Rhinolophus ferrumequinum: one gene and its partner. Each later gene encodes a partner of the first gene's protein in a complex. Links are inferred from orthologs where the notes say so. Each region holds a gene or a part of one and is shown on either strand. Other genes may lie near its edges. The genes, in order: EMC2 and EMC9.

What was found.
Region 2: EMC2 (region 1) and EMC9 share a complex: the UniProt entries of both Homo sapiens proteins name them as parts of the ER membrane protein complex. The link is inferred for Rhinolophus ferrumequinum from reciprocal best matches to the Homo sapiens genes EMC2 and EMC9.

The regions. Positions count from the first base shown.
Region 1 is NC_046297.1:49,045,123-49,060,718, reverse strand, and holds the start of EMC2 (ER membrane protein complex subunit 2), read right to left. Parts: upstream 7,712-15,596; coding exon 7,672-7,711; intron 1,007-7,671; coding exon 893-1,006; intron 385-892; coding exon 320-384; intron 1-319. UniProt on the Homo sapiens protein: Part of the endoplasmic reticulum membrane protein complex (EMC) that enables the energy-independent insertion into endoplasmic reticulum membranes of newly synthesized membrane proteins.
Region 2 is NC_046289.1:74,300,262-74,315,272, reverse strand, and holds EMC9 (ER membrane protein complex subunit 9), read left to right. Parts: upstream 1-5,153; 5' UTR 5,154-5,519; coding exon 5,520-5,717; intron 5,718-5,819; coding exon 5,820-5,896; intron 5,897-6,761; coding exon 6,762-6,831; intron 6,832-6,919; coding exon 6,920-7,014; intron 7,015-7,318; coding exon 7,319-7,499; 3' UTR 7,500-7,549; downstream 7,550-15,011. Other genes in the region: PSME2 (proteasome activator complex subunit 2), read left to right, coding at 1,014-1,061, 1,371-1,403, 1,845-1,907, 2,136-2,222, 2,330-2,360, 2,448-2,545, 3,123-3,191, 3,343-3,410 and 3 more; PSME1 (proteasome activator complex subunit 1), read right to left, coding at 7,696-7,776, 7,951-8,037, 8,113-8,167, 8,275-8,342, 8,427-8,495, 8,750-8,847, 8,966-9,011, 9,100-9,210 and 3 more; FITM1 (fat storage-inducing transmembrane protein 1), read right to left, coding at 12,547-13,159, 13,545-13,810. UniProt on the Homo sapiens protein: Part of the endoplasmic reticulum membrane protein complex (EMC) that enables the energy-independent insertion into endoplasmic reticulum membranes of newly synthesized membrane proteins.

The DNA of each region.
Region 1 (15,596 bases):
CTTGTTTTAAACTATCTGCTTCCTATTGTGAACGCTGTAACACAGCATAATTCACCTAGTAATCGGATAACATTCATCAACTAATTTAACCTCATCAGTAAACTGGGATACTAATATATCTACTTCTCAGGATTGTTAAAAAGATTTAAGAACATACTGTTTTCCCAAGCACCTAGTTAGTCCCATCTACTCTTGAGTAGCATTGAAAACCAGCTACAGGAAGCATTTATACAAGCTATAGACTAAGTCTTAAATGCTTGTATATAATTCATGAAGCATATTAAATATAAAATAAAACATAATTAGTTTAAATACATACCAATGCCAAGTCATCCCGACCACAGTCTAGGGCCGCAATCATCACCTGTTCATATATGATCCAAACTAGATAGAGAGAGAAAAAAACTAAATTTAATATTAAAAATCTCCCAACAGAAACTAGATAATGAATTCTTTCTGTTTCTGATATTTTAGAGAACAGTACTTATAACTGAAAATCGATTTATTGTATTATTATCTGCCATTAAGGAAAGAAAGCATCCTTTCAACAATGTAAAATATTTTAATAGCTTTTCAGGTAAAAAAGTCTCCAGTGATTTAATACTGTTACTGTTCTAAAAGATCCTTTATGAAATACATTTTGACCAGACCAGGACTGCAACACTATGAGCTTTAAAACAAAAATCCTATCTGATAGCTTCACTACCAGCAATTATAAATGCTTCTCAAAATAAAGTATCATTAGACTTCCTGAGAAGTTTTTTAAAAAGTGATAAATCACTGATAGATTGAGATTAAACAGCAGAAAAACATAAATGACGTTTTTTTAAAAAAACTAAGAACAGCAAATGGACATGTGCTGAGCAAAGATATAATAAATTAAAGAACTTACTATCATCTCCAAGTCTAGAAGCATATTCATTAATTAATTCCTCTCCAACTTCCACAATTTGCTCACTGTTTCTTGAGTTTTCTTCTCTCCATTTTCTCATTTTATCTCGCATTTCTGAAAAGTAAACTTATTATACATATATATACTTGATCAACGTCAAAAAATTGACAAGATGAAATCAACTATTTTGGTAAAAAAAATAAATTCATACTAATATATAAGTCTGTGTATGAAAGTTCATAGAGCAGATAATCAACTTAACAAGAGCAACCGATCCTTTGGAAGACTGAAAATGCATTATAACCAGTATTACAACTATCTTTAAACGTAATGAATGGCATGGGTCTGCTACAAAGACCCTCTATCCCTTTAAACAATCATGGATCTTAACCTTTTTGACAACACTCAGAATTTGATAAAAGCGGGGGATTATTTTCAAAGAAAAATACATAAAATTATACACAGAAATCTCAAAAAGTTCAAGGCGCTTCTGAAGTTCACCCATTGACTACAGAATACAAAACTGTCTAAATCAGGGTGTCATATTAAGCTATAAGCACTGAAAGGATATCCATCACAAAACTTCCTTAGTAACATTACTAAAACAGTAATATGTAAATGTAATATGTAAAATAATATGTAAAGATACACAATTATGCAAGGAAATAAACAGCAAAAAAAATAGAACAAAGGATTCTTTTGATTATATTCACAATAATAAAATGAAATGTAAAGTCAAAAGCACTAACAGACTACAAAAGTCAATAGAATTTTGAGTATTGTTAATACAATAGAAACGTTTGTTTCCAAGAACAGCATTTTGATAACAGAAATTAATAACTGGGGAAAAAAAAGAGTACTTTATCCAGCAAACAAAAGATTCCTTTTTTATACAGTTATGGTAGAATTAACTGTCCAATTCACCAATCACATACATGCTTTCTTACTCTTACCTCTGATAATTTTACATACTCATCTGAAGTACCACCTTCTTCCTTCTATACATGTTGAACAGATTTAAAAAGGTGAATTACTTGTTTAACAGATGAGTTAAATAAACAATACACTAGTCACCTAGAGAATAAATATAAGAGAACCACATGGGATTTTCACTACTTTTGCATGCATTATCTGGGTCCCTACAGTTCGAAGTCTACAAAAGAAAACAAAAATCATAAGATGAAAATAGACTCTAATTGAATTTATAAAAATGGTCTTGGAAAATTATTACAAATTAACATACTGTGAATTCCTTCTACTGTAACCTAGAAATCAGCTTAACTCTCATTCTGAACAGGAAGTAATATTGAACTGAATCTAAGAGGTTGAAGAGGAATTCAGCAAGTAAACAAAAAAGTAGGTTATTCCACACAGAAGGAACTCCTGGTAGTTAGAATTAAAGAAACAGATCAGAAGATGAGAGGGTAGGAAGTAAGATTAAGTTACTAAAAGGCCTTACATTTCATACTGAAGAAGTAGAAGTTTATTTCTGTAGGTGCAGAAAAACAACTAAATATTAAGCAAAAGGAAAGCAGCATGATCAAATCTACATGTTAGAAAGTGGCCCAAGTTCTTCAACAGATAAATTGTAAGGAAAAACAAGAGAATAAGAACCTAAAGATCGAGAGACTTTTAAAATATATCAAACTTCATAAAAAATTGGCAAGACTAAAGTATGGTGTCTAAGGATATATATGCATTTGGAGAATAAATTATTTTAAAATGCAAGGAGTTCTTTACTAGAAAAGTCAGGCTAATGGTTACTGATGAGAGAAGAGGGGAGTTGTGGTTGGGATGGGGCACATGGGAGGGACTTCCAGGAGGGATGGTGAAGTTCTATTTCTAGACCCGGGTGGTAGTTTGGAGGGCTTTCATTTTGTAATAAATAATTCAGCTGTAAATTTGTGTAATTTTCTTTCCATTTTATTTTATAATAAAAAGATACTTAGAATGAAACAGGGAAGGGAAACGAAGGGGGAGAAAAGGAGGAGAAAGAGAAGAAGTAGGGGTAGAGGGAGAGAGAGGCAGAGAGAGAGGGAGGGAGGAAGAGAGAGAGAGAAGAGCAAAGTCCTTTAAAATATAGATGGAAGAAAACCGTTTGTCTTTTACCAAATAAAGTATTGGGAGGTTCAAAAAGCATTTAAGTTGAGTAGCAGCATAATTTCCTTGAAATTCTGACACACAAATTTATTAACTAAACAGTTTTAAAATACAGAGCTTATGTTTGCTGGAAATGATCTCAAATCTCTTAAAACTGTTACTGTATAATATTTTGTAAACTGAAAATCAACCAAAACCACCATGGAGATATATTTCCTGTGCCTGGTTAAAAACACATGGTTCTTGACATGAAGATCCCAAGAAATAAAGTTAGACTGCAAAAGAATTAGTGAACACAAATGCTTTTCAGACAAAAGCAGCTTAAAACACACACACACAAACACACACACACACACACACACACACACACACATAACCCATACATCTCCAAGCTTTATCCCATTAACTCATCAAATTTTATAGCCTGCATAAGGTTTTAACTACTAAAGGAATGTAATAGCAACAGTGTCACTCATTTAATCACTGATATAAAACTAATGTTGGAGAAAAACCAACAAAATCTATTCACTTAGCAAACAGAAATCAGGGGAAAAAAATAGTGCTACTGTATTTAAATCCAGTGAAGAATATCTAACTAAAAATATTCTTTTAAAAATGAGGTTAGGAAAGTAGGATCAAAACAATATAGCAGCATACTATCTGTAAAGCTGTTGGGTTTACTGTCACCCTAGTGTATTTACTTAAGCCATATTTTCATACAGTTAAGTCCGTTTCCACTCACAGAACACTTCTGATAACCAACTGTTCTGCGGGCAAGTTTTCCCCATGCCAACCAATTCTCCAACTCTGTGAAATCAACTTGGTGTGCAATAATTCAATTCAATCTTGGCACCAACTACAGGGAGTTAGTTAGCATCAGACCTCACAGGTTAAGGGCGCAGTCCCCCCACTTCAGACACCAATCATAAGTCAGGACCATCTCTACTTCTGACCAAACAGGTTATGAAGTCGAATGTTCCCACAACCCCCTCCTCAGGTTCTATACTAACTAAAACAACTCACAGAACTCAGGAAAGTGCTTTACTTACTATAATTAGTGCACTATGAAGGATACAATTCAGGAACAGCCCGATGGAAGGAGGGAGCAGAGGCCCTTCCACGCCCTCTCAGGGCAAGCCACCCTTCCAGCACCTTGATGTGTTCACCAACCTGGAAGCTCTGCAACCCCCATAGTTTAGGGGGTTTTATGGTTTCATGCTGTAGACTTGATTGATAAATCATCTGGTGATTAACTCAATCTCCAGGTCCTCTCCCCTCCCAGAAAGACAAGGGGTAGGACTCAAAGTTCAAACCCTTAATCATGGCTTGGTCTTTTTGGTGACCAGCAACCATCCTGAAGCTAATCTCAGTAGTATACAAAAAGATACTCTTATCACTCCAGAAATTCTAATATTTGTTGAAAAAATATTTATTAAAAATGAAGAATGTTAGTTTTTATGCTGTTTCTATTTCCTCTCTTTTTATTCAGTCCTTCAAACAACCACAATTTGCTTTCAATGCCCTAATCACTGCAGTAAGGTTCCTAGGGTGACCTAATACAGGTCTAATGTACGTATGTGCTTTATACATCTGTACTACATATGTCATTATAGATCACTCCTTCTATAAAGAATTACTTCATTAGTTTCTTAATAACATTAAAGTTCCCCCTCTTACTTTCCGGACCTTTCATTTGCTGAGTTGAGTTCTCCAAATCCATTTGCTCCTTAATTTTTGGTGTCCCAATGCTTCTTTCCTTAACCCTCTTCTTAATTTATTATTGGTGCTTAAACCTGAGATCAACAGGCTCCTTACAGGAATAAGTGTTAAGAGGTCTGTGAATTCCCTAAAATTACATGCAAAACTGAGTGTGTACCTAAACATGTATTTTTTTTCAGCAAATATTTATTTAGTGCCTATTGTACACCAGCCATTGTGCTAGGCATTCTATCCATATCCTGCCCAAATACTCTATTCTCAAGAAACTTGACTATACCCTCTTTATAACTCTTTTCCACCTCCAAACCCCTAAGTAATAACTCCTCTATATATTAATAAGAAACCTCAATAACTTTCAGCTGGCTCAATAAATAAACCATATACTCTACTTTCTTCACAGAACCCAAGAGAGTAGGAGGATGTCAGACGTATGATATAAGTCTTTTATAGACACATGACCACTTATCCTATCACTTATCACAAGAATTACAGTACTCTTTGAACTAACCATTTCTATGGCTTTAATTTATGATGCTATTTAATGGAATTCTCAAGGATAAAGGTCCAACTGACATCCCCTCCTAAAAAAATATAAACAAAAAACTATCCCTGTAGTTTTCCCATTACCCTCTTACAATAAACATCTGCTACCATAAGTCTCTGAAAGAAAAAATACAGACTATGTTTTCTTAAAAATCCCCTAAAACAGAATTTTAATTCTGGAAAGGTCTAAACCCTCATTTTACAAATGAGCAAAACTATGTCCTAGTAATGAAGTAAGTCTATCTAAGATACTGAAGAAATTATTCCAACACTAGAAAAATGATTTATGGCCTTTTTTTGTAACAATTTGTTAATGTTTATTATTAATCCCATTTACAACTCATTTAGTCAACAAATAAGTACAGAGTTCCTCTCCTATGGCAGGCACTAGAACAAGATACGTCTGGTCCCTCCCTCCATTCTAGTGACACAAAATTTTAAAATTTAACATAATTGGGTATGTGCTTCAAGAGTATGAAAACATACAGTTAGTTAAAAAAAACGGGTAGGATTTGTTGGTGTTTTTATTTTCATTTTTTCTTTTTCTTAATATTGGCGGAGGGATGGGAAAGGGTTTTGGGGTAGGGTAGTCAAGGAAAGCTCTCTGAAATATGTGACCTCTGAGGGGGATTCTGAGAAATGACAAAGTATAATGGGAGCAAGAGAGGGGCAAGGAGGAAAGAACACTCCTAATGGAAGGAATAGCCATGTATCTAGACTTAATACAAGAGGAGTATGACGCAATTAGGGAATTCAACAAAAGCCAGCATTGCCCGATCATAGAGTGAGGAGGACAATACCTTAAGATAAAGCAAAAGACACAAGCAGGAACAGATCATCTTTTTATGTAACACTTAGTTAAAAGCACTTTTAACATATTTTCTCTTGTTCCTCAACAAACTTGTGAAGTAGCTATTATTTATTTTTCTAAGTCTAATTACATCACTCCTCTTTAGAATGCCCACAGAATAAGATTCAAGTTAAAGGACCTTGTCTAACTTACCCACCTATTCATTCTTTAAGATTCTATATATGATGCTATCATCTAAAACACCTATATTGAACAAAACTTCAAAATATCACTTTCTATAAAGCATGAACTATTTGAAACATTTTTAAAAAGCATTAAAAATAATGCCACATATCTACCATATAGCTTCAGGGAATATATCCTGACAAGCCTTTTAAAAACTATGTATTTACAGATCTGTCTTCTCCATTAGACTGTGAACACCCTGAAAGTAGGGACTATGTGTTACTTAATTTGATATATGCAAAATCTATCACTAAGCACTTAATACTTTTAATATAATGGAATCTTCCAATACAGGTAGAAACAGGTTCACAGTGTGCTAGAGGCCATGAAACCAATAATAAATCACTGAAGTCAGTTCAAGTATAAAGGAATTTTTCCTTTTCCCATACATGTTTGCACCTTTGTAATACGGGAGAGATTTATTCAACATCAGTGGATGTAACTTTCAGTCCACATGTTATCAGGTCATTGTTTTAAACATCGTAAGGCATTCCTTGAAAAAATAAGCTATTGAAGTCTGCTGTTACATGCTGGGAATGTAAATTTCAATTATAAAAATTTCATGGTTTAGAGAAACTCAAGACTCTTCTCTCAAGCATGTCTCCCGCTCAAGTTTTTGAGAAGGGAAAATCTCTTACAGAATTGGTCCAAAGTTTGGCTAATTCCAGATTTAAAGAACACACTCTCCCTTACATTAAACCAGGATAGGGAAAGAAGTCCATCACACTTGCGCACATATCCCAGATAACCAGTTCTTTTCCCCTTCAGAAAAAGAATTACTGGTCAAGAATAACAAGGAAATCGTGTTATGTGTGTAGATGTGTTTAGAGGGGAAGTGGTACTGGGAATAATTTAAAAGTGAAGAAATCAGAAACCCAGTTCTGAAGAGGGATGGAAACGTAAAGTGTCACGCAGGACACTCATATTTGTTCATGAGTCTTCTACACATCTTTTCTGCACAAAGTTGTAACCCTTAAACGGCACCTGATAAAGGCCTTACAGGTCATGTATTTCTTGGCTGCAAAGAAGCTTCAGCAAACACCTATCTCGCCGCCTCCGCGTCGCCCAGCAGCTCCAGGTCCCTCCCGCCTCATAATGGAAGCTTCCCTGGGCCGCTAGACTGGCGCGGAGGTAGGTCGGTCAGTCCACCGATAAGCACAAGCAGTAGACCGGAATACCGCAGACTCCAGTGGGTGATCGGGCCAAGGAACAGGTCAGGTCAGCCTCAACCTCCACCTTAGCCACCACCTCGGCTCACCCAATTCAGAGGGAGCTCTAGTGCCGAAAACAGACCAGAGCATCCAGCTTTCCTAGAGCAGTAGATCTCCCGAACCCCTCCCCAGAGGTTTGGTCTTTCCGCGCTCAACCCGCCCGCAGTTACCTTCCCAAGTGACATCGTAAAGCTCTGAGACCTTCGCCATCTTCTCAGAACCCAGAGGCAACTGGGCGAGAGGGCGGGGAGACGCGATCACGTGATCTGCGACCGGGCGGTGGCGAATTACGACACCGTTTCTCATTCGCCGAGAGAGAGGAGGGGGCGGGATTCGCCGCGCACGTGTACGCGGCTCTAAGGCGGGGCGATTCCGGAAGGGGGAGGGGCGAGCGGGGGATGCAGAGGAAGCGCTGATGGCCGGACCCGCGGCAGAACTTGCTTCGGGTGAGGTGTCTGTTTATCATAGCTCTTTAACAAATGCTGGGTTTTTAATGTGTGCCACTTGAGGTTTTTCATTTTTCTCTACGTAGGTGTACTTCTTCTCTTCGCAATCCCTGATTAGTCCCTCGTTCTCCTGGCCTGCTGCAGCGCAACGTTCCACCGAATCACTTGTCCCTCACTTTTTTCCTTCCTTAATAGGATTCGCTTTCCATTTCCTTTTTAATATTCAACTAAACTGATACACGTCAAAATTTTCGTTAAATCTCTTTGGGAGACTAAGTGGGATTCAGCCTTTGCAAATTGTGTTCCAGTGGCCGAGGGCTTTTTTATGTCACATGAATGTCTTCATTGCCAACCCACAGCCTTAACACACTCGTGGACCAGTTTCCCTCCGCTCTAGATTTGAAACTCCGTAAGAGCAGCCAACATGTAAGTGCTTTTAAATAAATGAATTATTGAATAAATGTACGAATGAGACCATCCAGCCCCTACACTTCATTCCTCTTAACCTCACGGGGGAGCCTCCCTCCCCACCCTTTCCCACCAGACTGATTTCAGGAACCTTTGGACCTCGTCTACTAGAACCAGGGAGAAATGTCTGAAGTGCAAACAAACAACAACAAAACAAAAATTTGAGGGTCGTAAGCACATATTTAGTATTTGGAGCAATAAGAACATGAAATTGTAAAGGGGAAATAGGTAAACTGAGGAAAGATGGCCAAAAATTCCTGCATAATAGCCATAGTTAAGGCTCCGTGAAAAGAGGCAATCAAGATATGAGAAAGAAGAAAAAGAGTCATATCCCACAAGCTAAGGGAATAGAGTTAAAAAAAAAAAAAGGAACTATCAGTGGCACCTGTGAATTTATAAAGTCAGATTCTGTAAGAGCTTCATTCTATCCAGACTAAAAAGACCTTAAAAAAAAAACAAAACCCCCATTTAAAAAACTAAAAATCCTTCACTCAGCAATTCACATATTCGAATGCTGCAATAAAGCAGCCTCATATAATGGTAAGAATAAAAACTCCATCAGATAGAATCCAGGCTCCACCATTAGTAACTGGTTGACTTTCTGCATGGTATCTCTGAGCATCAGAGTTGCTAATGTATAAGAAAAAGCTAATTATAGCTATATACAAAGAAAAGATTTACCTGGAATTGTTATCAGGATTAAACAAATTATTGCATGACACTATCATAGAGGTACCAGTTCTGTTTACATAGTTATTACATAACAAATTTACATAACTATTTACGTAGTTATTTACAGCCAGCAGTCCTGTTTCTGCCCTGAAACCCAGTTCTGCTTTCTTGACATATTCACTTAAATGGCTAATATGCCTCTCAAAGTTAACATATTGCAAACAGAACTCTGGATTCCTGCCACCAAGTCCCCCAACTTGCTGTTCCCCATCACAGTTAATGAAACCATCTGCCTATTTGCACACACTAAAATTCTAGGAAGTATCCTTGATTCTCTTCTTTGCCAACTGCCCTATATCCAGTCTTGTCAGGAAATTCTGCATTGTACTTCCAAAACATTCCCCAAAATCTATTTCATCTCCATTGCTACTACCTTAATCTAAGCCACAACTACCTCTTACCTGAATAACTGTAATAGCCTCCTAACCTCTTTAGTTTCATTCTTGCTGTGTAAAATCTATTTTCTATACAGCAGCCCTACTCGTCTTTAAAAAAAAAAAAATCACAAATGTCCTTTGCCTACTGCTCTCCAATGGCTGATCCTGGCGATAAAAACGTACTCTAAACGCTTTACCATGGTTTACAGGGTTTCACTTTGTCTGGCTCCCTCCTACGTCTCTACTTTATCTACCATTCTGTCTCTCATCACTAGACTTTAGCCATTCTCACCTACTTCAAACATGCCAAACTCCTGTCTGCCATGGGGCTGACATTTGCCCAGCTTTTCCTTTTTCCTGGAATGCTCCTCTCCAGGTAAGTGGCTGTCTTTTTGTCATTCATATCTCAGATTTAAATGTATCTAGTCATAGAAAGGCCTACTTTGACTATCCAATAAAAAGCCCTAGTTAATGCCTGTTACATTATTATGACACTTATCACTATATGATATATTTTTATTCACTTTCTGTATTTTCCATTTTATATAAACTCCTTGAGAGTATGTATGATGTCGGACAATTAAGTTCACGAACTCATTCTAGAAAAAGTACTACATACCTTTTTGCTGAATATCACTATGGTCACCTTCGAAGTACTCCCCTTGGGAAGCTATGCACTGACACCACCAGCGCCTAGTCCATCCTTCAAAGCAATTGTGGAATTCTTTTTCTGGAATGGCCATCAGAGTTGTCGTCGTATTACCCTTGATGTCCTGAATGGCATCAAAATGTCTTCCTATCAATATTTCCTTTATCTTCAGGTAAAGAAAGAAGTCACGGGATGGCCAGATCAGGTGAGTAGGGAGGGTGTTCCAATACAGTTATTTGTTTAATGGTTAAAAGCTCCCTCACAGACAGTGCCCTGTGAGCTGTGCATTGTCGTGATGCAAGAGCCATGAATTGTTCGCGAAAAGTTCACATCGTCTTTTTCATGCAGCCTTTTCAGCACTTCCAAATAGTAAACTTGGTTAACTGTTTGTCCAGTTGGTACAAACTCATAATGAATAATCGTTCTGATATCAAAAAAGGTTAGCAACATCATTGCAACACGTTCACCAACTTAATTGTCAGACCTCCTACTTTGTCGTTTTAACCTTGGAACATCCAACCTATAAAAACACCCGGAGCACAGTAAATGTTTGTTTAATGAATGAATGAATTAGATACTCAAAAAATGATAGCTCATATTAGTGATTATTAGGATAATATTTTATAGTAGTACACATGTAAATCTACTGTTTGGTTATGGATAGGACGTTTTTATTTTATAGCTGATGATTTCCTAAAAATTATGAACTTAATGAGTGTGAGGAACATGCCCATTTTTTTTATATCTCCCAGCTCCTTACCACGGTACGTGACATACTAGTATATATTTGTGGCATACACATACGAATTAATTTTTGTACTAAATTGTTGATTCCCAACATTTTGTTGAATTTTTTGAAGGAGTGAAAGCTGAAGAAGGTGTCTTTTAAAAACTTACAATCGATATTAACAGTTATAGCTAATTGAGGGAGTAAATATTTTCTAGTCACTTTAGCTAAATGCCATTGTAACTAGCTACTATTGTCTGTCAGGCAATAAACCATATCTGATACTAGATTTAAAAAGGTAATTTACAGAATTTTTGAGCTGGAATCTAGAATAATTTCATTTAGACTTAGAAGGTACTTAACGATTCTTTAGAATACTTTTTAAAAAGTTGTTTGCTTGCAACCATATTAAGGAATACATTTTGCATCATCACACAGTATGCATACATATATTTAAAACTAAAAAGCAAAATTACAAGCTAGCCTTATAATGTATCTTGTTTTCTATATTTTTCTATTCAAAATAAGTCAATTCCATTTTATTTTATAAAAATACTAGCTGTGACCCACTAATGGAAAAGGGACCCATATTTTGAAAAACACAAGTGGACACTGCACATGTTTTCTAATCTGAGTCCCTGATGTGAAATAATTTTCTCAAGTTCCTGACACTAGTAAGTAACAAAGACGGAAAATTCATAGGGAGGAGATGAGTGGTTTAGATCGTGAAAAAGGCACAGGACTATGCTCTATGATGTGCTTTTTTTGTGTAAAGCTATTTATGAATTTCATTTTTCCCCTGCAAGATCATGTTTGAATAGTTAGAATGATAGTACATCAGAATGAACTAGGGTCAGAAAGGAATAACTTTGAATAAGCCCACATTTTCTTTGAGATGGGATAAGCTTTGATTATTTATCAAGCCAGATTGGCCCCAAAGCACTTTACAGTGCTTCTCTTTTATGGTCAGGGTTTACTTAATTCAATTTATATCTCCAGACATTATGAAAGACTAAAGCGACTTCTTAAATTTAATAAACCTTATGGCATTTATAAAATGGACATTATTTAAAGGATAACATAATTGATTTTGCAGTATTCAACATCTTTATCAAATCATTTATTTAGAATCTGCTCTCTGCTTAGTTCTGTCTTAATCATAGTGAATTAAAGTATCCCACAGTATGAAACAGTTTATAACCTCTATTTACTTTGACAATTATCCTTCAAAGTAAATTGGTCTCACTACAACTCATAAAATTTACCATAGCTTTTAAATCTTGTTATTGTTTCTAGTTAGTGAATCATAACCATAATCCCTTTGTATTTAAGGGGAAATACTACTTATTTCATCTTCATTCCATGTCAATAAATTTTCACTGTGACACAGTCACGTTTAGAGGAAAGTTTTCCTTAGAGTTTTATTTACCAAAAGCCAGATTAACATGGAATTGTTTTAGGAACCTTTTGAACATTGTTTTTTATTACATTTTTAAAAGATTACGTAACTTAATATGTTCCCCCAAAACGCAAGAGCCTATGCCCCCTTTGCTGATACAACCATAGCATTTACGCATTTCTAATTTTTCCAAATTTGCAGTCATTTACAGTATACATGTTTTAAAATGTGCTAGCCATTTATTTCGCATCCAATTATATTATTTTAGAAAGCAAAGGAGAGTCTCTGGGAAACATTTCCAATGAGGTCACTTTGGTCCTTTCACAGTAGAATTCACAAACTGATAATTACCCCTCTGTGCCATAGTTATAACAGTGAAGAGGAAAGTACATCCAGAAAGAATACACCCAGAATTTCTCCCACATGGGCAATAAATTAGAGTTGTTTCTTTTTTGAGATTTATAACCATACTTGAGTCTACTTTTTCTAGCAGTATTTTTTCATTGCCCCAAAGTGCCTATTCTGTTCTGATACACACATACATCTGTGCATATATAATAGTCCTTGTGCAGAAATATATTTTCACAAACATCCCTTTTGGGTACCAAACATCCAGGAGTCCCTATATCCTGTAACTGTGACCCGATGGTCTCTGGAGCCCATCTAGACTCCATTTTCTACAATACAACTATAACTGAATTCTTTACTTGAAAAATGTTCTTTACTTGAAAAAAGTATTTATTCACAAGAAACTAATTGCATTGTGGGTAAACTCATGCAAAAATATACTGAATATTATCTTACATATTTTTATAGTTATAAGTTATTCTGTTACAGATGTAATTTTATTTTATTTTTTAATTAAAGTTTATTGGGGTGACAATGGTTAGTAAAGTTATATTGGTTTCAGGTGTACAGTCTGCAATACATCATCTATATATCACGTTGTGTGTTCACCAATGTGGAAGTTCCTCTTCCATCACCATATATTTGATCCCATTTTATCCTCATCTACCACTCCCCTCCCTCCTTACCCTCTGGTAACCATTAAACTATTATCTGTGTCTATCAGTTTTTGTTTATTTATTGGTTTGTCTTGTTCCTTTGTTGTTTTCAGTTTTATATCCCACATAGCAGTGAAATCATATGGTTCTCAATTTTTTCTGTCTGACTTATTTCTTTTAGCATAATAATCTCAAGATCCATCCAAGTTGTCACAAATGGCACTATTCCATCTTTTCTTATGGCAGAGTAGTATTCTATTGTGTATATATATCACAACTTCTTTATCCAATCATCTATTGAAGGACACTTTGTTAACAGTCCCTCTCTTTGGTGGTTTGGTAGCATCACTCTAGCCACAAATGAGTAAGTTATCCTCTCAGACCTGTAGTTTCTGATGCACCTTATCTGCCACCAGGCCACAAGGTCATTTACTGGTCATCCTTTTCTTTCTATAGTCTTTCTGACTACTCTTGGCCAAAGTTGGTTTGAAGTCCAGTAGACACATTAGGATAAAGTGGCCATCTCATCTTTCAGATCATATGCTTTTTTGCACGTGGGATGGCTTGTCTAGTCAACCCCATGGATTTATTTGGAAAAAAGATTGGTTTTCTGGCAGAATGCAAGAAAACAACCTCCCCCTTAATCCAGTCCATCAACCCCATCCATCATCACCTCATTCTTGAGCAAACGGCACAATCTCAAATGCTTTAAAAAAAAAAAACACATAATTTTTAAAATTATACTTAACATTCTTTATCTGAAAAACTGAGGTAAGGAACAATATAGGTGAGCTGCAAAAGCTGCCACTCAGTTCAAATTACTGCCACCTCACTACAACATTTTAGCATTTTAATAACTTGCTTCTGCTCATTATGTTTCTATTACAGATTTCTTTTTCATGTTTTAATAATGGACTTGAACATTTGTCCTGTGGGTGGGGTGGAGGCAGGGACAAACAGAGGAGGAATGATTTCAGTTGATGTAATTTTTCTAGCAATAGCAAGATTATGGAATATTAAACATAACCTCAATCTAATCATTAGAAAACATCATACAAACCCAAATTGAGAGCCATTCTACAATCATAACTGTCCAGTACTCATCAGGGAGTGGCAGTGGCATTATATATTGCCCTTCTAAGCTTTGAGACAAATGCTTAGTCTTAAGCCCCCATTGCCAGATTCTGATGTCATGTATGTGATGGAATTAAGAGCCTAGACTTAGAGTTATGAAAGAATCCTCAAAGTGGTTTGTGTTAAATTCAAATTTTACATACCATGTCATAGAGGGGGTAGAGCTCTTTACACTCTAGGTATCAGCAATGGATTCTTTGCCAACATACACACATACGTTGCTCTTTTTCACGAAACCTGCTGGGCTCTAATTCCAGGTTACACATTCTATAATAGCTATGTAAATTACGTAATTTGAGCAAGTTATTTTAACTTCATGGAACCCTAGTTTCCTCATGTAAAATGAGCATAATAATACTTGCTGATTATAACAAGTATTAGAAGTAATAAGCTTGAAATTCCTCACACAGAATCTGGCCTATGACACAACACACAGTGTTATATACCAGTTATTGAGTACTTACTGTATACCACACACTGTACAAGTTGCTCTTTGTAGATTATTTCATTTAATTCTTAACAACAACTTCACTTTACAGATGAAGGAACAGTTGGGAGTGGTTAAATAATTTCCCCAAACACACTATGATACACTCCTTCACATAGTAGGTTCTTAGTAAATAGTAGCTGTATCATTTTGGTCTTTGGGAAGCAGATGTGATAGTGTTCTGAATGCAAGAGGTTTATTAGAGGGCACTCCACGTCAAAGATAAAAGGGGGAGGAAGCAGAATAGGATTAGGAAAGCTTTCAGACCACAGTGCTCATCTATTACCTGTGAAAGAAAAGAGTAGGAACTAGGATTGGACAGAAAGAGCCTCACACCGTGATTTGGATCTGCTGTAGTATCAGCCAACTCTGTGGGAAAACTCCAGGGCAAAGGTTACCCATCAGAGGAAGCCTACACTGGGCAGAAATGGCCAGGTCCTAGGACCCCTACGTGTTCAGTCATTGGCTAGAGGCTACCTACAAGGGCATGGCCTCAGCTTTCAAGCTGAGATGAATCTTGAAGACTAATTAATAGCTAGAGGGTGCCAGCTCCCTGCACTCCTTGCTGCTGAATAGCAAGTGAATCTTGAAGGGTGATTCTAACTGCATCTCTGTAGCTGCCACAGTAGCCATTATTATTCTTTCATTCTGAGTATAATCTTTCAGTTTTGA
Region 2 (15,011 bases), on another chromosome or scaffold:
CCGCTCCTGCCTGGTATCTGGCTTCACGGCCCAACCCAGTCCGCGTAGCCTTCCCGGGTCACTCAGGCCACGGTCACTCTTCAGCACCCGGCCCCCCGCCAGGGTTAACCGGGAACAGGAAGTACTAGGGAAGAGGGCGGGACTGCGACCCAGTTTCAGGGGAAGAGGAGGGGTCTAAGGTAAAGGAAGGCGGGATCAGGGAATTATGGGGCGTGGCCAAGAAGGGAGGCCTGGTTCCAGCCAATGAGAAGGGTAAATGGCCCCTGGCTCCTCCCCTAGAGCCTCACAGCCTTTAACCCTGTTCTAGAGCTCTTCCCCGCCTTCCTCCAGGCTGATTCCGCTCTTTTATGAATTGCCAAAGGAGCGGGGATAACTTATTTCCCTCAAAGCCTTCCTCTCTATCTAGACCAGTAGACCGGAGAAGTACCATTCTGCCGGAGACTCGACTCTGGCCGGCCTGAGCCCGGCTCAAGCGAACTTCTCCAGTCGGTCTTGAAGGCAAGGCGCCCTCCGGGAGGAAGCCCCGCGCCTCCTCCCTTTCATACTCTCCTACTCAGCCCCAGGCCTTCATTTCTACTACTTCTCCCACCGCTCTGATCTCTCTCCAGCCCCCTCCTCAGAGTCGAGCCTCCTCGGGAGAGCCCCAGCACTGAACACCCCCTTTCCCACTCCACCCCTCTTACCCCAGTCCCGGACTTCCCCGGACTCCCTCGCCTCTCCCTGTAAGCCCCGCCCCTTCTCTGGAAGGACTGCTCCAGTTCAGGCTCCGCGGTCCCACCCGTCCTGGCCCCTCCCTCGGACAGCCCCTGGGCTTGTGACCGAGTCGGCACCGCCTCTTCTAGTCTCAACTGGCCGAGAATGGCTGAGGGGCTCCCTACGGTTTGCGGCTTGCCAGGGGGAGGGGGAAAAGAAAGAAAGGGGTGGGGTTAAGGGGGGCGGGCCTGGACGTGGGGAGTGAAAGCGAAAGCCCAGGCGGGGAACCGGGAGACCGAAGATCTAGCAACTGGAGCAGCATGGCCAAGCCTTGTGGGGTACGCCCGAGCGGGGAAGCCCGCAAACAGGTAATGGAGACCGGAGGCCAGGAGGGGTCCAGGGAGCCCTCCTGGATGGCGGCCAAGCTGGGTGCTCCAGGGGTCCACAGCCGTACCAAAGAGCTCCCCCAACCTCCCTATTCAGTGCTTTCACTTCTGCCCTGGGGATTCCCAGAATCCTGCCCTCTGACCAGTATATGCAGTGAGCATGGGCTTCCAGAGAAATCTGGCTTGTGGGAAAGGCCTGAGCCAAGTTAGAGGGCATCCCATTGGGGGGTGGAATCTTACTCTTGACAACTGAGACCCTTAACCAACATCCGGGTACTGCTCTCTGTACAGGTGGATGTCTTCCGGCAAAATCTTTTCCAGGAGGTAAGTCTTCTGGATTCAAGCGATTTGACCCAGAATTTTAAACCGATACTTGAGGGTCACAACCTCTCAGAGTGACCCCCAAACCCACCCTAGACCTGGGCCCTATTTTCCTTATCAAGACTTCATCCAAGATAAGCTCCTAATTATTTATCTCTACCCTTAATTTGATTCCTCTACATACTCTCCCCACTTCTGCCACTTTTCTCCCCTCTTTTGGTGTTGAGGGAAAGAAACGCTGTGACCCCAAAGCAGGAATACCACAGTCCTAACCTTGGTTGTGTCACTTCCTAGCTTGAGAAAATCCTTTCACTTTTCAGGGCTTCAGTTTCCTCATTTGTAGGTCTTAGATTCAGTGATTTCCAAGGATCCTTCCAGTCCCACTTCTCAGGCATCTCATTAAATGTCTTCTGTGATTTCCCACCTTCACAATGTAACCCGCAGGCTGAAGAATTCCTCTACAGATTCTTGCCACAGAAAATCATTTACCTGAGCCAGCTCTTGCAGGTGAGTAGTGTGGGCTCCTCTTGCCCCATCCCACGGCCTCTTTCCTCTCCACTCACCCTCTCTATCTAACAACTGGGATCAGCATGCAGAGAACATTTGTGAGTGGTTGTGATTGGTGGACTGGGAATGTTAGGATGGTGTGAGGCCTGAGCCTAGATTGGGAGGCAGAGGGCGGGAGGGATGTGTTCAGGGAAGGCTGGGCATCCCCTGACAGTAAGCTCTGTGCAGGAGGACTCCCTCAATGTGGCTGACCTGACCTCTCTCCGGGCCCCACTGGACATCCCTATTCCAGACCCCCCACCCAAGGATGATGAGGTGAGGCACTCAGGGTGTAGGGCTCATACTATATAAACCCAGTGGAGATGATGGCTTTTCAACCGTCAAGACTTTTTCTGAAGCTACTTTCCCCCTTTTTACCTTAGATGGAAACAGATAAGCAGGAGAAGAAAGAAGGTAAGAGAGGAAGGGATGGCCAGGGGAAGGGAAATGGCACAGTGACTACTTAATGAAAAAGGAGCCTAAATCCCCTCTTTTCTATAGTCCCTAAATGCGGCTTTCTTCCTGGGAATGAGAAGGTCCTGGCCCTACTTGCCCTGATTAAGCCAGAAGTCTGGACTCTCAAAGAAAAATGCATTCTGGTAAGCCTGGGAACTGGGAGAAATAGAATGAGAAGACAAACCAGGCCAGACCCTGGTATTCTTCAGAGATGCAAGTCCTTCATTCAGGAACTATTCCTGAAATAGGAAGATTCCTTCTGTGCCTTGCGTTTAGATACCTTTTGTTCTGCTACACCTCTGATATCACAGTGGTATCCCTGAGATCAGAGACTCGGATATATCCACCTCCACAATCTCAGAATTCACTGCTGTACCAGGCACACAGTGCAGGTGCTATGCAAGTGAGTTGGTTTAAGAGTTTAGGCCCTAGAGGGAGACTGCTTGGAATCAAATCATGACTTTATCACTTACCTAGTTGATTATCTTAAATAAGTAACTTAGACATTCTGTGACTCAGTTTTTTCATCTGTTAAGTGGGTATAATAAAAAGATATACCTTGAAAGGTTGCTGTGACGATTAAATGAGATGTATAATACGTAGCACAGTGCCTGGTACATAATAAATGCTCAGTTAAATATGTCGCCTTAGGGAGTAGTGGAAATAGGAAGAACCCAGCAAGTTTGTTGAATGATTCCTACATGATACCTCTTAACATAGGTGATCACATGGATCCAGCACCTGATCCCCAAGATTGAGGATGGAAATGACTTTGGGGTGGCAATCCAGGTAAGAGAAGGGTGTATAAGTATATTAAATGGTGAGAGACTTGGGGAGTGGGGGATAGGAGCTAGACATAACAGAGGAGGAAGGAGATGGTGAGTGAAGGATGGAAGAGATGAAGTGTTTTCTTTGCCTCCCATCTCTTTTGTCCCCACAGGAGAAGGTGCTGGAGAGGGTGAATGCAGTCAAGACCAAAGTAGAAGCTTTCCAGACAACAATTTCCAAGTGAGGGCAGCTGGAGGGCCAGCACAGGGGGCTGTGGGGACATTTCTTTGGGACTCCCAAAGCTGGGCAGTCCCATCAGGATGATAGAGGGCTTTGGGAAGGGTCTGAGGGAGAATATGAACCCCCGTTCCTGTGGTTACTCCCCTTGTTTCCGGCAGGTACTTCTCAGAACGCGGGGATGCTGTGGCCAAGGCCTCTAAGGAGACCCATGTAGTGAGTGGATTGTCCAACAGCCTTTCCCCTGATGCTGGCTGGGGGTGGGGTGAGGAAAGGGGAATAGAGGTTCTCTTTGTCTTGTTTATGACCTTCCCAATGTGGGGAATATTAAGCCAAAAGCATTGCCTAGGAAAACTGATTTGGGCTTCAGAAACCTTAACCCCTTTCTCTGTTTGGTCCTGTGAGAATCCCATTTCTTGATGCTGAAAAGGGCTCATGTTCAAGTTACCTATTCCCTGTGTGAGAAAACCAGACTGTCCTGACCTTCAATGGGGCTGACTCAGCTTTGCTTTTCCCATCCCAGATGGATTACCGAGCCCTAGTGCATGAGCGAGATGAGGCAGCCTATGGGGAGCTGAGGGCCATGGTGTTGGACCTGAGGGCCTTCTATGTGAGTGTGGGGTAAGCCTCTAAGGGAGGTGGACCAGGAGGGGCAGAGGAAAGGCCAAGAACCTGATTGCTGCCCTTCTGGCATTCTTCCAGGCTGAGCTTTATCATATCATCAGCAACAACATGGAGAAAATTATCAACCCAAAGGGTGAAGAGAAGCCATCTATGTACTGAGCCCAGGGCTAGCAGGGAAATAAATGACCTATATTATATGTGGATTACCTCTGGTGTGTGTCATTCATTCAAAAAGCATTTACTGAGTGCTGCCTATGTCCAAGATACTGAATGTGAATGTGGTGCCAGGAAGACAAAGATGAATTAGATGTCCATCCTGTTCTTAAGAAGTCATCCTAAAGAATAGGGTGGAAACTGTTACATGCCATAATAACCATGAAGATAACCTTTATTTGGGAGTTTCACAAGATTTTTTCCATCTGGGGATCTCATGAGTGCTTCCTGGAAGGTATGGCATTTGGGCAGAGCCCTTATTGGAATAATCAGGCTATGAACAGACAAGGGGAAAGTTCTGTGGCTGAGGTCAGGGAATGAAGAAACGAACTACCTTTCATCATCACCTCATCAGCTCAGAGCAAGCCTGGAGGGACAATGAGGTTTCTCTGGAAGAATTATGGGTGAATGAGTGGACTCTTTCTCAAGCCCTGGGAGGGGAAAAAAACACTCCCAAGGCATGGAGATGAATGAAATTACACCACAGGACATTATGGGAAGGGTGGGTCTGTACATGGTTTTTTTTGGGGGGGGTCCTTTTTTCCCCTTCAGCCAATTGCTGTCTTTATTTCTGCAGATATTACATTAAACAAGGCCATGGTTCATTACTAAGTGGCAGAGCCGGTCTAGAGTACAAATCCACTCCTTCGATAGTAGGAGCGAGGCGACCCGCTTGGTGCCCAAGTTTGAAGAGCCACTGCTCCAGGACACCAGACTTCGGGCGCCCGCTCCATCCTGTAGTCTCCGCCGGGCCTTTGGGGGCGGACCGCACAGGTAACAAGAAGCCATCCTACAATCAAGAGCCGAAATCGGGTATCCTAGCCAATCAGCGTGCATACAGTTTTCTTTACAGTTGTGGGTTGTTTCCAGTACGCTGGAGACAAAGGCGGGACAAGGTTTGGACGCGGCCGGTGATAGGACAAAATGAGAACATCTAAGCCTATCAAAGGGCACCATGTGGGCGGGACTCCAGAAGCAAGTCCTGCTTAGATTAGAGCCTCCTGCTCTGGGTCCCCAAGACGAGCCTGTATCTGCCGCCGCCCTCTGGGGGCGGGCGGAGGTGGAGCTGGGTGCCGCAGCATGCAATCGGGACCGCCTGCGACCCGGCCTGGTGGGGGCCGGACTCTGGAGCCGAGGTCGCCTGGAACCGGCGGGCTGCCTTCGAGCAGTGTTAGCGTCACCACAGAACCTAAGTGAGAGGGCAAGGGCAGGGCCAGGTAGGGCGCAAGGGCGCTGGAGGAAGCTTCGCAGACGCGAGCGGGAGTCCCGCTCGCCATGGGGGAGGTGGAGATCTCGGCCAGAGCCTACGTGAAAATGTGCCTGCACGCAGCTCGGTATCCGCATGCCGCGGTCAACGGGCTGTTGCTGGCGCCGGCGCCGGCGTCGGGAGAATGCCTGTGCCTCACCGACTGTGTGCCCCTGTTCCACAACCACCTGGCCCTGTCTGTCATGCTGGAGGTCGCCCTCAACCAGGTGCCGCCGCTGGACGCTCATCAACCTCCGCGAAACCCCCGAACGCCCCTAGCAGGGTGGGCGGCACGATTTAGTTTACTGATGGCCCCTTTCCCACGGCAGGTGGATGTGTGGGGCGCGCAGACCGGTCTGGTAGTGGCTGGGTACTACCATGCCAATGCAGCTCTGAACGACCAGAGGTAAGTGGGGTAGCTACAGGCAGAAGGCCAAGGGTTATTGGGTGAGGGTGGCTGGCGTGTCAAGAGAACTCCTCTTGGTCATTCCTTCCATCTTTCCTTAATGAAACGCTTAGGAGCAGGGACTGCACACCAGGCACAAGACTAGGTACTGAAGTGAGGAAATATAAATATAAAAATGCTCTAGAGGTGGGGAGGACACCTGTGTATCAATAAGAAAAGGCTGACACCTCCTTTAGCTGAAGTGCCCCTCAACTGCTGAAAACACTGGTTGGAAGCCCAACCAGCAAAAGGAAATTTCTTTATATGCATGCAGAAAAAATTATCTACTTACATAATAACCATGTATCTAGATCAAATTATACATACTGTTTTGTAATTTGCTTTTCCCTCATTTAATAAACATCTGATATCTTTCCATCTCTACACCAAGATCTACTTTGCCCTAAAGCTATATGGTGTGAATAAGGATGTACCATTATTTATGCCTTATATTAAACATTGAGGTTGTTTCCAAATTTTTATTATAGACACTGTCCTATTACTACAGTAACTTCTTTATATAGTGGAATTTCTTGGTCAGCATATGTATAATATGAATTTGGATGGTTATGCCAAATTACCCTCCAAGAAGACCACCTTTGATTTCCACTCTTACCAGCAGTGGCTGAGTACCTGTTTCCTGCAGCACTCAAGCATCAAGCAGTTGTGCATGAAGCATCAAGCAGGCCTGACCCCCCTTCCCTGGTCCAGGTCAGCCACAGGAGAGGCAATCACTGCACCCATGTCTGAGACCTGGGAGGCGCAGCTCAGATGGATAGGGTCTGCTCAGTCCACTCCTCACGCCTCTGATCTTCCCTCTACACAGCCCTGGGCCCCTGGCCTTGAAAATTGCTGGGCGGATTGCAGAATTCTTCCCTGGTGCAGTACTTATTATGGTGAGGCTTGGGTTTGGAGGAGGGGGTTGGAAAGAAAGTAGGAAAGGGGATCCTTGAAGCCCTCACCTGCCCTTTCTTGTCCATGCAGTTGGATAATCAGAAACTGGTGCCTCAGTCTCATGTGCCCCCAGTCATCGTCCTGGAGAACCATGGTGCCCGTTGGGTCCCCAAGGACAAGAACCTGTGAGTGCCCCACTCTCTCTCGCTCTCCCTGGAAACCCAGGACACCTGGGCCTGGTGTTCTTGGTCCTGCACAAAGGGTCGCCTGGAACCGGCGGGCTGCCTTCGAGCAGTGTTAGCGTCACCACAGAACCTAAGTGAGAGGGCACGGGCAGGGCCAGGTAGGGCCAGGTAGGGCGCAAGGGCGCTTTCTCAGGCCACCCGCTCCCTGACCCTTTCTCAGGCCACCCACTCTAGACCTAACTTCTGTCGTGTGTCTGGCCCTACTGCCTGCTGAGTTAGACCTTCATGCGGGTTGTTATTTCAGAGTGATGTGGAGGGACTGGGAAGAGTCACGGCAGATGGTGGGAGCACTACTGGAAGGCCGGGCCTACCAGCACCTTGTGGACTTTGACTGCCATCTCGATGACATCCGGCAGGACTGGACCAACCAGCAGCTTAACACTCGAATCACCCAGTGGGTTGGTCCCTCCAATGGAAATGTCTGAGCCAGGGCCGGGGTACATGTGTCAAGATCCAATAAAGAGACTTGAGCTGATGGGTATTGTTACGACTATATTTATTGTGCCTGGGAGGCAAGGGGAGGGAGAAACCTCAACAGGTGGAAGGTGGGGCAAAGTCTGAAGTCCCCTGTCAAAGATAGGACGGTCTCTGCTGGATCCACCACAGTATGAGAGGAGGCGCTCAATAGATCATTCCCTTTGTTTCTCCCCTGGGCTTCTTGAGCTTCTCGAAGTTCTTCAGGATGATGTCATATAACACAGCCTACATGGCCAGGGAGGAGTGGGGATCAGTTGTAGGCCCCAGCTCTATGCCCCATTTCTAACCTTGTGGTGAGACTGAACTTGGTCATCCATCACTCCCAGCCTGCAGGGTCAGGGAGTGGGTGGCCTGAGAAAGCTGCCTCTACCCACCCTTGCCCCACCCTTTTCTCCTCACATAAGCATTGCGGATCTCCATGACCATCAGCCGGATGTCCCGGTACTCTGCTTCATCCAGCTCGTGCACCAGCTGCCGATAATCACCCTGCAGGAGACCTGGGTCAGGCCTCACTTCAAATATATCCTTCCCCCCATATACCCTGACCTCGGCCTCACCTACCACATGGGGCTGCTTGGCGGCTTTGGTCACGGCATCACCCCGCTCAGAGAAATACCTGTGGGAAGTAGAAAGGTGTGGAACAGGAGAAGGAGGAGAGAGCCCAGGCCTCTGTCCAAGCCAAAGGCTGAGTGTGCATGCAGGTACAGTTGGGCAGACACTCACTTGGAGATTTGAGTGTGGAAGCCTTCCAGCTTGGTGTGAAGGGCGGTCATCAGCTCAAACACCTTCTCCTGAGGAAAGAATGCAAGAGGTAAAGTGGAAAACAGCATGGACTAGAGACATAAGGAGGGTGGAGGAGTGGGCAGCGCTCTCACCTGAACAGCTACTCCAAAATTGTTTCCATCCTCAATTCGAGGTATCTGCAGCTGCAACCAGGTGGTGACCTGGGAGGAGGGAAAGGCATCAAAGCCACATCAGCCCTCAACCCAATTCCCAGGTTCCTGTCCTTCCTTGTTTCCCTGCCCACAGTGGGTGTAGGTATGCCAGGTCCATCTTGAGTCCCAGGGCCTGGACTTCTGGCTTCATTTGCTGTGCCCTCTCCTGCTAAGACCTGGCAAGTGCCATGCCCTAACTGGCAGGGACCAAGGAAGACAAAGGGTTTGACCTAAAGCCTGGCGGTGGCAGTGGTAGGGCTCACCAGGTTAAGCTGCTCAATGACATCCTTGATCTCAGGCTTTAGGCGCTGCAGGAGGCTCACAATCTTTTCGTTGCAGTTCACTGGGCCACAGGGAGGACCTAGAGAGCGGACAATGGGTCAGGCACATGGCTGGGACTGCGGGAGGGGTGGGGAAGAAGAATCCTTCAGGAGGAGCTCCTGGGAGGTGAGGCTCATCCTTTGCCACCATAGTAGTACCTTTGTCTTCATCTTCCCCTTTCTTCTTTTCATCCTTGTCTTCCTTCTGCAGGGAAAGAGGGGCTCTCGGGAGTCAGGCCCAAGGCTGATATTCCCCATGGTTGGCTCCCTCCTCCCAGCTCTTCCCAGCTTGCCTCCTGCTGTTTCTTCCGCTCCTCCTTTTCTTTCTCCTTGACTGGATCAGGCACTGGGATGTCCAAAGGGGCTTTCAGATTGCTCAGATTGGCTTCGTTGAGAGCTGGCTCCTGGTGCAGGGTAGGAGGAGGGCTGGAGGCAAGGGCATCTCTCTCACCTCCTCACTCACATGGCCCCTCAGACTCTCCCCTTGGCTCCTACTCTCTAGCTCCCTGCCCAGCCCCAGTACCTTTAAAAATGCATCCAACTCAGAAATCTTCTTGGGGAAGTAGCTCCCGAGCAGGCTCTCTGTCTGGGAGTGAGGTGAGGCAGGGGAGGATGGAGGTCAGAATCCAACGCCCTTCTCGGGTAGTGAAGCAGGGCTGAAGCTGCCCACCAATGAAAGGCTAAGCAGTGGGAGATGGGTAGGAACGGGGTACTGAGGGGGCGGTTCTTACCTTGGTACACAGGTCTTCACGGAACACATCCACCTGTGGGGTACAGGCAGCCCTTCAGACACCTGGCTTTATGGCCAGTTCATATGAGGACCGGTCCCTTAGGATTGTGTAGGGCCTGGCCTGGGCAAAGGTGGAGTGGATCCCCTTGGGGCGGGATTTGGGGGATGAGAACATTCCTGGCGGTGAAGTGGTTCAAGTGACAACAGATCCCTCGGGTCTCCTGGGCTGTTATAAGGAGAGGTGTAAGAGCCTTCTGTGACTCGGGCTGGGACGGAGTGGGCCCCGGGGTCCTCCCCGTGAGAAAAGCAACGAGGTGACAAGGCAGGTTCCGCACCCAGACTGTGTGTGGGCCCGGCCCCGGGCCAGCGGACTTCCCCTCCACGCTGGTTCTCCGCTTCACCTCACCCCGCTTCACTCAGCCGCCTCTCCAATCCCGGCAGGCGGACCCCGCCGGTCTCCCTGAGGCTCAGGTGCTCCGGGCACAGAGGCTCACTTGGACTCGATACTGACCCCGACTCACGTCTGGGGGCTAGGGGGCGGCAGCCTGACGCCCTCAGCCTTTCGGCGCCACGCCTCCCTAATGGGCCCTTCCTCGAACCCGCAGCGCTCACCTTGGCTTGGGCTTCAGGCTGGACCCTGAGCGTGGCCATGGCCGGGGCGGGGAGCCTAACGCCGCACGAGGAGCGAGGAGTGGGCACTGTGAAGGGAAAGCGAAAGCAGCGCGCGGAATGCGCGCGGCCTTCCTGGGTAGAGGGGAGTGGAGGCACTGGGGGAGGCGGGGACAGTCCGGAGAGAAGAGAGGGCTGGGGGGGCGGAGGAAGGCCGCTCAGGCGGGGCTCCCTCTACTGCTAGAGAGCAGCGTTTCCACCGACCTCCTCCGCCCGCTCCGCCCATCCCACCTTTCCATCCCACCTCGCCCGCCTCTCGACGCCCCGCCTCCGCCTCCCTCTCCCCCTCCCCGCCCTGCTCCCGACGCCCCGCCTCCCCCTTCCCACCTCCTCGCCGAAGTCGGTCTCTCGACTCCCCGCCTACTGCCTCCGCCCACCCCGCCTCTTCCCTCCCGCCCTGCTCTCGACACGCCGCCACCTCCTCCATCCTCTTTGCTCTCTTTCCGCTCCAGGCGTTACTGCTTCCACTTCTCGCTTCCTCTCTTCACAAGGCCCGACATCTCCTGCCACCCAGCCCAGTGCCCGCCTTTGGACTCCCCGCCTCCCATCTCTCTCTGCCTTGTGACTGCTGGCTCTCTTCTTCACCTGCTCGGCCTGGGACAGTGATAAGCCTTATCTGACCCTCTTCCATCTTTCCTCAGCGGTGGATCAAGACCTGGTCTCCCTTCGCTAGCACTGCCAGCCTGGGCTCCTGGCTCCACGGGCATCCTCTGGCCGTGCAGTGACATTCAGACGCCGGCACCACTCCAACCCAGTCAGCTCTCTCCTAACCCTTGTGTGGACTCCATTGCTCTGTAGCCCGCTTTCCACACAGCAGCAGGATCCCTCTCCTTGTTTATAACTCTTTCTCAGTTTCCCGTTGACCTTGGGATGAAATCCTCAGGGCTTTCCTGGCCCCTAAGGCCTGCCTGGACTACCTGACACCTGTTGCCATTCAACTTCACTCTCTACTGCGTTTGCCCCGTTTACTTTACACTTGTAAATACCTGGCTTTTCATTTGTTGTCGGTATCACTTTCATTCCTGCCCGTTTTAGGGCTTTTGCCCTGGCTAATACTTTTGCCTGGCACACCCTGCCCCTGCCTCACGTTGTCTGTCATTCCTTTTTCCGTGCAAATATCACTTCGTCAGAGAGAACTGTCCATCATTCTTTATAAAGTACCTCCCTGTATTACAAAGCAGCCTGGTTTAGTAACTTCATAGCACTTGGCTCTGATATTAGTTTAATTTTTGAGGATAGTGTGGTTTACACCAGGGTTGGCAAACTTTTTCTGTAAAAGGCCAGATAGTAAATATTTTAGGCTTTGTGGGCTATATATAGTGTCCGTAGCAACTACACTACTCAAGTCTGCCATTGTAGCAGGTAAACAGTTATAACTAAATAAATTAGCATGGCTAGGTTCCAATAAAACTTTATGGGCATAAATTTGAATTTCATGTAATTTTCAGATATCATGAAATGTTCTTTAATTTTTTTTTCAACCATTAAAAAAATGTAAGAACCATTCTTAGCAATCAGGCCATACAAAAAATGACCACAGGAGGGCTGTCTGTGCTTAGAGCACAGACAACAGACCCATAGTGCCCCGGGGTTTTAATCCTGACTGATAATTTACTAGCTGTGAACAAGTTACCTAACCTCTGTGCCTTTTTGCAACCGTACAGTGGGAACACTACCAAACCTACTTCATAGCGTTGTTGTGAGTGTTAAATGTGTTAAATTTATATAAAGAACTTTAAGACAATTAGAATGTTGCCTGGCACGGAGTAAGCACAATGCAGTTTTGCTATTATTATTTGTGAATTTATCATCTGCCTCCCCCAGTAAACCATAAGCCCCCAAGCAGCAAAAACCCTGTCTCCCTTATTCACAAGGTCTGAAGCTATGTTTGGCTCAATAAACATCTGTTAAATAAATGAGTACACATAGAGCCCTATGGGGAAGAAAGGGTGGGAAGGGTCCCTGAGTAGGGTGCCTAGATAGGCAGCTCCTAGAGGAAGGCGGAAGGGGATTCAGTGGAGCAGGGGGGCGGGGGAGTAAATCAACCAGGCTGTAGACAGAGTGCTGCACAGCAGGAATGCTGCCCATACCTAAGTGCGTTGTTACCTGGCCCTAGCAGTGCCACTCCTTGACATCAGAGCCTCAGATAGCTCGAAGTCTGCAAGGACTAGAAGACTGAAAGGACAGCAGGAGACATGGCCATCAAGCATAAGGAAGGACATTCAAGGAATGGTTGAGGAACCCCAGCGACCATCAGCCTTTTCACCCTTTCCACCCTTTCCAGGTCCCCCACCAAATGATGAGAGGGGCCAGAGCCAGGCCTAATGTGCCTTTATTTCTTTCAGTTGTGCTTGCGGCTGGAGTGGGGGCGAGGGAAGAGCCCATGGCCGGGGCTCCCTGGAGACCAGGGCTGATGATACCAGCTGCCGTAGGTGAGGTACCAGGCAAAGGTGCCCACTGCAGCGCCCACCACTTTGTGAGTATACTGGTGGAAGTAGATGACGGTACAGAGCAGCAAGAAGTTCCAGAGGCCCAGCAGCAGCACGTTGAGCAGGAAGACGAGGCGCAGGGGTGCACCAGCAGGTAGCCCATGGGCCAGGTACTTGGCGAATACTGCTGCTTCCTCAGCCATGAGCAGGCAGCAGAAGGTGAGCAGGAAGGTATGGGAGGAGACCGTGTAGCCCCGCCACTGGTGGCCGGCCGCCAGGCAGCTGCGTCGGTCGGGCAGCTCGTGAAGCAGCAGGCCCTGGGGCAGAGGCTCCAAGCAGGAGCCGGTCAGGTCCTCGATGAGCAGAAAGGCCCGGCCGGCCCCCCGCCACACAGCTGCCCCCACCACTAGCCGGCTAAGGTGCCGGGCAGTCACTGCCACGCGCCGTGTAGCGAGGAACACCACCAGCAACACGAAGCCCCCCAGGAAGGTGCATGTCCAGCCCCATGCCGAGTTCACAAACTTTCTGTGGGCAGAGAAGGGAGGCTAGTGAGACCTCGTAGCCCTATCTTTCCACCCTGGTCTGTGTTCCCATCACTGCTCTGTTGCCAGTTCTATATTTCATCACTGGCTTTCTGGGTCCTGTGCCTTCTACCACACCACCCCCGTGCACTTAAACTTTGCCATCTCCTGAAAGACTCACTCAGCCTTCTATGGTCCATATTTCCTCGTCAGCCCTGCTCCTGACTTCCCCTGTACCCCCACAACGCTGTCCCCTCCCCCTCCTCTGACCTTCTCCTCAACCTTCTAGCCTATTTTTAGTGCCTGGACTGGCAGGAGGACAGAAGCCTGGAGGGAGCTAGGATCCCAGAATGGAGGGAGCCGGCGCCCACGGCCTCGCGTGGACTCACATGTTGAAGAAGTTGCCGTGGCTGGCGAAGATAGTCCGAGGGTTGACATGGAACTGCAGAAGGGGCCCAAAGATGACCACTGCTGCCAACCACGCATGGTAGAGGCGCCGTAAGCAGGGGCTGCCCAGGAGGCGAGCAGCCTGTTCACTCCCAAAGTACAGCAAGGCAGAGGCCACCCAGAGCAGCACCTTGACCAGGCAGCCCAGCAGTGCCCGGATTCGGGCCCCGGCCCCCAGCCCTGCCCCCACCACCGGCCCCCGCTCCATGTTCCCTCCCCTCCCCACTAACTGCTTGCTCTGCTGGGCAGCTGAGGAGGGGCTGATGGGGCCCCCCCTGCACAAGGACAGGCAGTGACAGGTGTGGCAGACACAGAGCAGAGCCCTGTTGGCAGCTGGTAGGCGGGGGAGAGGGGCGGGGGGCAGTAAGGGGCCAGGGTGGAGGGGTGCCACGTCAGCAGGGTCCCAGCCTTGGGTGTGTGTCCTTATTGCGGTCCGTGTCCTTTCCTGTTAGCCCTGTGTCCCCTTGGCTCTCTAGGTCTGTGTCCCAAGCTGTAACCATGGTCTAGTTCATGTTTCAGGGCCAGACCTGCTGTTCCGGGTTGTCTTTGTCCATAGCCTGCTTGGGTCTGCCTGTCTGGTCAGCCAGTTAACCATACCCCACCCCAATTTTACTGTGTGTTTGCTCCACAGGGAGATCAGGGGTCAGGAACATAAAACTAACCAAACCTTGGAGGTCATTTAAAAAAATCTGTGTCTGCCTCATCATCATCGTGGCCCAGCTTCTCTCCTCAGGTCTGAGCACAGGAGCTCACCACTGAGCCTGCAGCAAGATGGCCGTGCACTGCATTGTTTCCAACTCAGGCCTGGGAAGCACGTCAGCAGGGTTACCCACTTTTCTGCACTGGGACCTCAGGGGCTTGGCGCAGCCCCAGCTTGTCTGGTCTGAGCTCTGAGGGGTTAGCTTGGGTCTAGGGCTGCTGTGTAAACCATGGTTGTGCAATGCACAAGACATCAGATCTAAAGGGGGCCCTTCTTTGGTATGTTTATTATGATGGCCAACAGATGAAATTCAAGTGTCCTGAAAAGGGCATATTATATGAGATGGTGATGGTTTAGGTTGGACTCTCAGAGTCCCCAAAAGTAGGTTTACTCCTAGGTGATGGCGAAAGCAGGGTGGAGATCTAGACGAAAAATCCTCAGCCATCAAAACATAGGCTGTGTCTTCTAACCAATTACCCTAGGCTCAGCCATACCTAAGACTTAGCTTCTCGGCCTGACTACAGGGGCTGGAGCCACAGTATGGAGTGCAACCTACCCAAGAGATGTCCCTATTATTCAGTAACTGTTTTGCAGTCCCTTTTTGTCTTCCTCATTCCTCAAAATTGGTGGTGGGATTTCAGAGCACAGTGGAGGCCTGCGAAGTAGTGAAAGGAATGAACTTAAGGATACCTGAGTTCTGGGCCCAACT